Linked DNA regions of Rattus norvegicus. The protein of the gene in region 1 purifies or fractionates together with the protein of each later gene. This does not show direct contact. Links are inferred from orthologs where the notes say so. Each region holds a gene or a part of one and is shown in the gene's direction. Other genes may lie near its edges.

Evidence for each region.
Region 2: the proteins of Pnkp (region 1) and Xrcc4 purify together in Homo sapiens (co-immunoprecipitation; 5 studies listed by BioGRID and IntAct, counting the BioPlex papers as one, with this or other methods). This does not show direct contact. The link is inferred for Rattus norvegicus from reciprocal best matches to the Homo sapiens genes PNKP and XRCC4.

Annotation. Positions count from the first base shown.
Region 1 is NC_086019.1:104,476,345-104,480,943, forward strand, and holds the start of Pnkp (bifunctional polynucleotide phosphatase/kinase), read left to right. Parts: upstream 1-1,768; 5' UTR 1,769-1,833; coding exon 1,834-1,984; intron 1,985-2,536; coding exon 2,537-2,583; intron 2,584-2,809; coding exon 2,810-3,106; intron 3,107-4,137; coding exon 4,138-4,217; intron 4,218-4,302; coding exon 4,303-4,360; intron 4,361-4,599. UniProt on the Homo sapiens protein: Plays a key role in the repair of DNA damage, functioning as part of both the non-homologous end-joining (NHEJ) and base excision repair (BER) pathways.
Region 2 is NC_086020.1:22,905,176-22,908,989, reverse strand, and holds part of Xrcc4 (DNA repair protein XRCC4), read left to right. Parts: intron 1-2,020; coding exon 2,021-2,196; intron 2,197-3,814.

The DNA of each region.
Region 1 (4,599 bases):
CCTCCCTTTTGTTATTTTGCCTTTTGGGCTGTCTCTTCGGTCTTAGTGCTGGAATTTCCCCTCTGCCCCGTCATACCCAGCTTTAGCGTATTTGTGCCAGGTATAGGGGCGATTTCCTCCACTTTATTGCTGTGACTGGCATCATAGTGGTGCCATGCACTTCGAATACTAAGGACAAATGCTGGTTTCTTTGCGCTGCTGCAGAGGAATGGCGATGAAAGCACACATTTGCCATTCCATCAGCAGGGAGGTGGGTGTAGGAGGCACAGGAGCTAATGTCAATTAATCTAGACTCCTTTCTTTCGGGTTTTAGAGACTTGTTCAAGATAGGGTTTCTTTGTGTAGCTTTGTAGTCCAAGCTGTCACCAAACTCACAGATCGGCCTGCCTCTGCCTCTGCTTCCCCAGTGTTAGAATTAAAGGCATGTGCCGCCAACCACCTGGCTGGAGCATTCTATTTTTTTTTTTTTCTTTTTTTCGGAACTGGGGACCGAACCCAGGGCCTTGCACTTGCTAGGCAAGCGCTCTACCGTTGAACTAAATCCCCAACCCTTGGAGCATTCTATTTTAATACCAGTATTTGCGAGGCAGGCAGGTCTCTGTAAGTTTGAGCCCAGCTAGGGTGTTATGGTGGATTAATGTACAAGCCAAAAAACTTGTCTGAGCTAGAAAGATAACTGTAGCTGGGCTTGTTGACAGATTTCGCTCCTAGGAGGAGGAAGCAAGGTCATGGGACCCTGACCTTAGTGCCCAGCCTTACTGGCAAGCAACTAGATGCAATTCTGCCCTAATTGCCTGTAGTCTGGGGAGGGGCTAGAGGATACTGGTGAGGAAGAAGTGTAGCTCTGTCTGTGCAGTATGAAAAAGGGCTTCATTTCTGCTAGGTAATGACGGCCCAGTGTAGTTTTTTGTGGGCAGCAACACGACCACCACCACCTATGCTCTGTAAGCCCCAATATATTCGGGTTTCCCAGAATGATCTGTGGTGGAATCATTTCGGGTTATCCTTCAGACTTTTGGAGAAGGGTAGACATTTTTTAGGTCCTCCCTGGAATGTAACTCATTTATCTATCTATTCATTTATCTATTTATTTATCTACCTATTTATTTTTGCGGCAATATATTCGGGTTTCCCAGAATGATCTGTGGTGGAATCATTTCGGGTTATCCTTCAGACTTTTGGAGAAGGGTAGACATTTTTTAGGTCCTCCCTGGAATGTAACTCATTTATCTATCTATTCATTTATCTATTTATTTATCTACCTATTTATTTTTGCGGTGAGGTCAGAATCTCACTATGTAGACCAGACTGGACTCGAACACAACAGAAATCTGCCTGTCTCTGCCTCCCGAGTACTACTATTAATATTAAACTCAAGTGCCACCATGTCCAGGAAGGAATTTTAACACGGCTATATCTTGAGACCCTGTCTCACTAAAACAAACAAACATACAAGGGAGAAAAAACCAAAACCGAGTAACTCTAGCGTAGGGATTAAGCGCCTATGGATCCGAGTTACCCCTATCCGCACAACCTCACAGCGCCGCAAGCGAGTCGGGACTGCGCATGCGCTGTGGGAGGAGCCAAATTTTCGGAGTCTTTCCCACAGCGTGGATGAGCTTTAGAATGAATTCAGAAGATACTCTTAACTATGCAATGCTCATACGCATTGCAACCATTGTGGTAGCCTAGGAAACGTCGAACCCGCCCATAGGCAAAGGGCGGGATTTCCGGTGTGACTCTATTGGGAAATCAGGACTTCCGGTGGCGGGTCGGTTGCTGGCTGCGGAGCGAGCTCCACAGTGAGTCCGTTCCCCTTCACAGCATCCAAGGATGTCAGAGCTTGGATCCAGGGGCCGCCTGTGGCTCCAGAGCCCCACCGGTGGGCCACCCCCTATATTCCTGCCGTCGGATGGCCAAGCCCTGGTTCTCGGTCGGGGACCCCTTACCCAAGTGATGGACCGGAAGTGCTCCCGAAACCAAGGTGGGCACGGGAGTGGAACTGAGGCAGTGAGTGGGATTGGAAGCTGGGGAACTTATGCCTAACCAGGAGCAATACGAGGCATAACGGGAGGGACAAAGCAGATCTGGGATTGTCACCGGGAGGGAAGAGGATACAAGAGAGAGAAGGTCGCTGAGCAGGATACATCAGGCCGTGATGCATCGGGCCATGTCCAAGACCTCGGTCTACCCAATGTATCTCATGGAACAAGCCAACCCTACAGATTAAAAAAAGAAAAATCTGTTCTGGGCAAGTCCGAGTCTCTGGCAATCCTAGGGACTCCGAAGAACATGGTCTTATTGAATAAACTGCCTCGGGCCGGGGGTGACACACACCTGTCATCCAGACAGTTGGGTGGTAGAGGCTTGAGAATCAGTTCAAGCCCAGCCGCTAGTATGTAGCGAGTTTAAGGCTATCCTGGGCAACCTGTGTTGGGGGATAGAGGAAGGAAAGTGCCTCTTTCCAAATAGTAGACTGTAGTTGGCCAAGCCCCCGTACGTGTTGTAAACCTTGACTCCACCCCCTTACCCTCAGTGGAGCTGATTGCAGACCCTGAAACCCGGACAGTGGCAGTGAAACAGGTACCAGCGTCTCAGCAGCGGGTAGCGAGGACTTGGGAGAGGGGCCGGGTAGATCACAACTTTCCCCTTTTCCACCGTGCCAGACTAGAGCCAAAGTTCTGACTGGCCACACGAAGTGACTAGGTGGGAAGATTAAAGATCTGATTGGGAGATAAGGTGTTGGACTTGGGGAGGCAGGTGTTCCATGAGGGGGTGGTGCCAACCCTAGCTCCTCCTCTGTCCGCAGCTGGGTGTTAACCCATCAACTGTTGGGGTCCAGGAGTTGAAGCCAGGGGTGTCTGGCTCTCTAAGCGTGGGGGATGTCCTTTATCTGGTTAATGGCCTATATCCCCTGACCCTGCGCTGGGAAGAGATCAGCACACCAGGATCCCCGCCAGACACTCCACCAGGCAATCCTGTGGATCCAGAGGAGGGAAAGGATACTGAGCCTCAGAAAAAGCGAATGCGGAAATCCTCCCCTGGCTGGGAGAGCTTTAAGCAGTTACTGGTGTTCACAGCGTCTGGAGTGAAGCCCCGGGGCAAGGTGAGGCCACCACCACAGTCTAGCCATTTAATTCAAAGTTTCCTGTGCAACTAACTCTGTGCTAGTCTATCAAAGTCTCTGAGCCTCAACTGTTTTGTGCAGATGGCTAGGATGCTAGTGGTGGCTGCCACCACTGAGGTACAGGGTACAGATCAGGCCCTGTAATCAGTGATGACCTTTCTTGGATGTTTTTAATGGGTCGCTCTGAAATTAGGACACAGAAAATGTGTGGTCTAGTTCCCTGTGGGCACTCGACCAACAGTGAAGTTCTCTTTTTTAAAAATTATATGAGGGGTTGGGGAATTTAGCTCAGTGGTAGAGCGCTTGCCTAGCAAACGCAAGGCCCTGGGTTCGGTCCCCGGCTCCGAAAAAAAGAAAAAGAAAAAAAAATTATATGAGCCTGCATGATTTTGGGTGTACTGTATGTATGCAGGTGGCTGCAGAGGCCAGGGAGTGTTGTGTGCCCTGGAGCTGTAGTTACAGGCAGTTATGAGCCATCTGACATGTGCTCTTAACCACTGAGTCATCTCTCCAACTCTTCCAACAAAGCCCTTTGCTCTTTCTGGGCTGTTAATCCTCCAAGGAGATGCTCTAAGAGAAAGGGTTGGGGAGACACTGGTCCCTACTAAAAACTGGAAGTGGAGGACAGAGGACACGGAAGGGTGATACTGATATTAAAAGGCTGTGTCGGGGCTGGGGATTTAGCTCAGTGGTAAAGCGCTTACCTAGAAAGCAAGGCCCTGGGTTCGGTCCCCAGCTCCGGAAAAAAAAAAAAAAGAAAAAAAAAAAAAAAGGAAAAGATAAAAGGCTGTGTCACTAGGTGGTGGTGGTGCACACCTTTAATCCCAGCACCTGGGAGTCAGAGGCAGGCAGATCTCTGAGTTCAAAGCCAGTCTGGTCTGTAGAGTGAGTTCTAAGACAGCCAAGGCTACACAGAGAAACACTGTTGAAGAAGAAAAGGATGGTGTCAACAAGCCTGTAGCAAAGGTCAGCGATGACAGTATTGCTGTCCCTGTTGTTGGTGATACCAGGTGGCTGCCTTTGACCTAGATGGGACCCTCATCACCACCCGCTCTGGAAAGGTCTTCCCCACTAGCCCTAGTGACTGGAGGTGAGGTGGGACATGGGAAGAGGCTGGGATGAGAGCCCAGAGTCCTTTAGATTACAAGTCACCTGCTACTTCCCATCAACCTTAGGATTCTGTACCCAGAGATTCCAAAGAAGCTCCAGGAGCTGGCTGCTGAGGGCTACAAGGTATGCGGTTGTGTGCATGGATAGGTGTTGGAAGCCAACAGCCACAAGAGGTGGGAACCTGGGGGTTGGGGATTTAGCTCAGTGGTAGAGCGCTTGTCTAGCAAGCGCAAGGACCTGAGTTCGGTCCCCAGCTCCGAAAAAAAGAAAAAAAAAGAAAAGAGGTGGGAACCTGTGTTCATGTGTACATGGACACATGCATGTATGTGTGTAGGGTTCAGACTGAGCTGTGTTGGTAGCGC
Region 2 (3,814 bases), on another chromosome or scaffold:
AATAGGTATACTTTCTGTTTAGTGAAATTAGCATATTGTATGTTTTCATTTTTTATTGGCACATTACTTGTATAGAAGTCTTTATCATGGCATTTTCATACAAGTCTACAATGAACTTTGATCATATCTACCTTCATTCTATTTTTCCTGCTTTCTGATGTTTCTCTTCTTTCTCCTCCGCACACATTTTTCAAATCTAGATTTCACATATAACAGAAAACATGCAGTTTTTTTCCAAAGTTTAGCTTATTTCTCTTAATTGTTTGCTCTCCTGTTTTATTCCTTTTATTGTATTGTATACCTTTACCATACTTTTTTAATCTACTCATTCACTGATAGGCAGTCAGGCAGATTCTTCTGTCTATTGTGAATAGTAACTACTGGATATGAACCTGTCCCTATTTTATACTGACTGATGCATTTGGGTATTTACCCTAAGAGTGCTTTAGAATGATCTATTCTGTTTGCAGTTTTGGGGGGAAGTGGAGATGCACTGCTTTACACCCCTATGAGTGATGTTTAAAAGTTTCTTTTTATACAGTTTATAAGTTTAAGTTTATACAGGGTCATCTTTTCCGCAACTACCTCTGACTAAGTTTCCATGATGCTCTCCAATCCATAGCCCTCTTTTCTTATGGCCTGTATGGTTGTTGTTGTTGCTGTTGTTGTTATTGTCAGTAACCTCCTGTCTCCAGTTGATCCTCAGCATATACATGCTAAGTAAAGGTTTACTGCATCTTTACCAACTTGTGTCGTTTTTCTTTTCTTAAATAGAGCCATTCTGACTGTGGGATGGAGTTTAATTGTCGCTTTGGTTTTAATTATCCCGTTGAGTTAGGAGGATATTGATCATTTTCTCTCAATTTATTTGAGTACTATTCAGTTCATTTGTACATTGATTAGGTTATTATGTCAAAGTTGGTTTTTCTTAGCCTTTATATTTTAAGGATACTAATTCCCCTGAGATAAATTGCTTGCAAATGCTTTCTCTCATTATCCCAATTTTTCTGTACAGTTTTTTAGTGCAGAAGCTCTGTAATTATGTGTACTCCTTTTGTAGTTCTCCCAGTTAGGTCTTGAACTATTGCAGCCCTACTCAGAAATTTCCTGTTAAGCCTATATTTTGAAGTATTTTCCTCATGAATTCATCTCTGTCTTTCCAATTTTTTGTCCTGGTATTTCCTGAGGACGGGTATGTTGGACATGTATCAACTGGGGCTGTGGACCCTACAGTCACTCATTCTTTGCAGTATTACTGATTGTGGATCTTCGTAGTACGCCTCTGCCTACTACAAACAAGGTTTCTTTGATGAGAGCTGAGAACTATATTTATCTTTGGAGATAAGGCACTTAATACAGAGTTAGAAGCTATATTGATTTAGGGAAATGGCATTAGTTCCGAGAAAAAGCCTCCATGTCAGGACTGGTTCAGTTCTTCCAGTCCTACATTAGAAGTTATGCAATAGCATCTCACTTGGAAATTGTAGGACTGCAACTAAGGACATTGGGATATCTCATACTTTGGGAGGATCTCTAGAACTCTTGACCAAGAGCATGATGGTTTCCCTTTTGTGACACTGGAGTTTTTGTTAGGTAAGCTGTTATTCCTGCATAGAGGAACTATTACCCACGTGGCATAAATCTGTAACACACACACACACACACACACACACACACACAGTTCCTAATTCTGAGTACATAGTCTGGTATAACTGCAGAAGCTGGAAAGCAGAGGGGATTAGAGACGAAGACAGTGAGCTCAAGAGATGGAGTGGACACAGGGGCTTCCAATGGGCAAAGGGGGGAAGTTTGGGTGCTTACCTAGGGAAGAGGGGAATGTGTTACAAGAGAGGGAGGAAAAAGATAAACAGCACTAAATGTATCTGCAAAAAACTACTGGGAAACATTTTATTTTATTTCTTCAAAGTTCTGTTATATTGGTTAAGTAGTTGTAACAGTTAAATCCATATTTTCTAATAGAACCTTTTGATTTCATCTCCTTAATTAATCTTTCCCATAGTTTCTGAATCGGAGATTGCACAGGAAGCTGATGACATGGCTATGGAGCAGGAAAAATACATGGATGAGCTGAGACGGGCACTGGTGCCAGAGTCGGGAGCAGCTGGTGCATACAAGTTCATCTTTTCCAAGGACACTCAGCATTTCTCCCTGGAGAAAGAACTGAAAGATGTTTCTGTGAGTAGCCCTTCCACGTTTGTTTTCATTGATACATTTTGTTTCACATTTCAGTAGCAGGTCCTGGAACAACTCAGAAATAAATACCAAGAAATTGCTTGGGATCCTTGTTAGTATGCTTCAATTTTTATAAAGGAAATCATATGTATAAGAAGTGTTTCTGTGAGGGTGTTGTCTGTGTGTGTGTCTGTGTCTGTGTACATGTGTGGGCATGCATGTCGTGTGGCCATGGCTGTGTGTGCCATGTCCCATGTGTGATGGTCATAGCCTCAGACTGTCCGCCTTGTTAGCAAGCACTTTTACCTACTACGCCCTCTCACCATTCACAATGTTTCAGAGTTAAAGTTGATGACATATTTCTTTCAACACTGCAAAGTAAACACTAGGAAATGTATTTACTCATCACTATTTAAAACACTTTAAGTACTGTATAGTTAATTACACGAATGAACAAGAGTATTAGACCATTGCAGCCTGGCTTTCTCAAATTAAGTTTGGGAAAATACAGAGTTTTAGAAAGAAAATATTAAGTTTATCTTTGCCTATTTAATAATTGATTTATTTTCTTTCTTCTAGTATATTTGAAATTTTATCTTATTTTAAAAAATTTTAATAATTTTTTAACTTGTGTTGGTGCCTTGCCTGCATATGTGTCAGTTCCCCTGGAACTGGGATTGTAGGCTATTGGGAGCTGCCTGCCACGTGGGTACTTGTAATTGAACCTGGGTCCTTTGGAAGAGCAGCTGGTACTTTTAGCCCTTAAGTCTTCTCTCCAGCCTTTTATATATGACATTCTAAAACAACATAGTTCAGTGTGGTAATACATATAATTAAGGAATCATGATTTACATTGTCCTACTTAAAAACAGTAGAGCAGAACTAGCTTTGTGTCTGAGCTTTTAAAGATTGTGTGCTTTCTAGACCCACATAATCTGCTACATGGCTCAGTTTCTGCACCAATTCTGACTAAGGAGCAGCTAGCTTAAAAGTTTGTGTTCACTCTCTTTACAGCCTCCCTAAATTAAATTAACATTAAATTCACTTTTGCCTTTTGTTTATTAATCATATGAGATCCACACCATAAGAAAGGGAACTTTATCAGGTTCATTGATAGTAATTAAGGAATTGGTTCTTGTTTGTCTGTTTTGTTTGCTTGTTTTGTTTTTAGTTAAATCTAATTTTTAAATGATTTTAAAACAATCTTTTAAACTCAATAGTACAGGAGATTTATCAATCTGAGAAGTATTTCAAGAAATAACTAAAATTATTATTTTCAAATATATTGTGGGAAAATAATATAGAATGACTGACTCTTGTAATTTCATTTACAAAATATATATTTCTATTCACTGTCAATACATGTTTTTTATTCTGTTGAGATTATTCCCATAATAGCTTAAAATAGGTTGGTTTGAAGTGACACATTCAGTTTAGTATCACTTATGTTCTTTTCTGTGGTCCAAGCTCAGTCAGATGACATTAAATGCCCTTATAAGTGCGCCTGCTTCTTCTCATATTGCAAAGTAGAACTGGTCAAATTAAGAACAATGATATTTTCTATTCAACAGATATTTATTTTAAACACTTTTGGTTATTTTGTGATAATGCATGGCAAGTT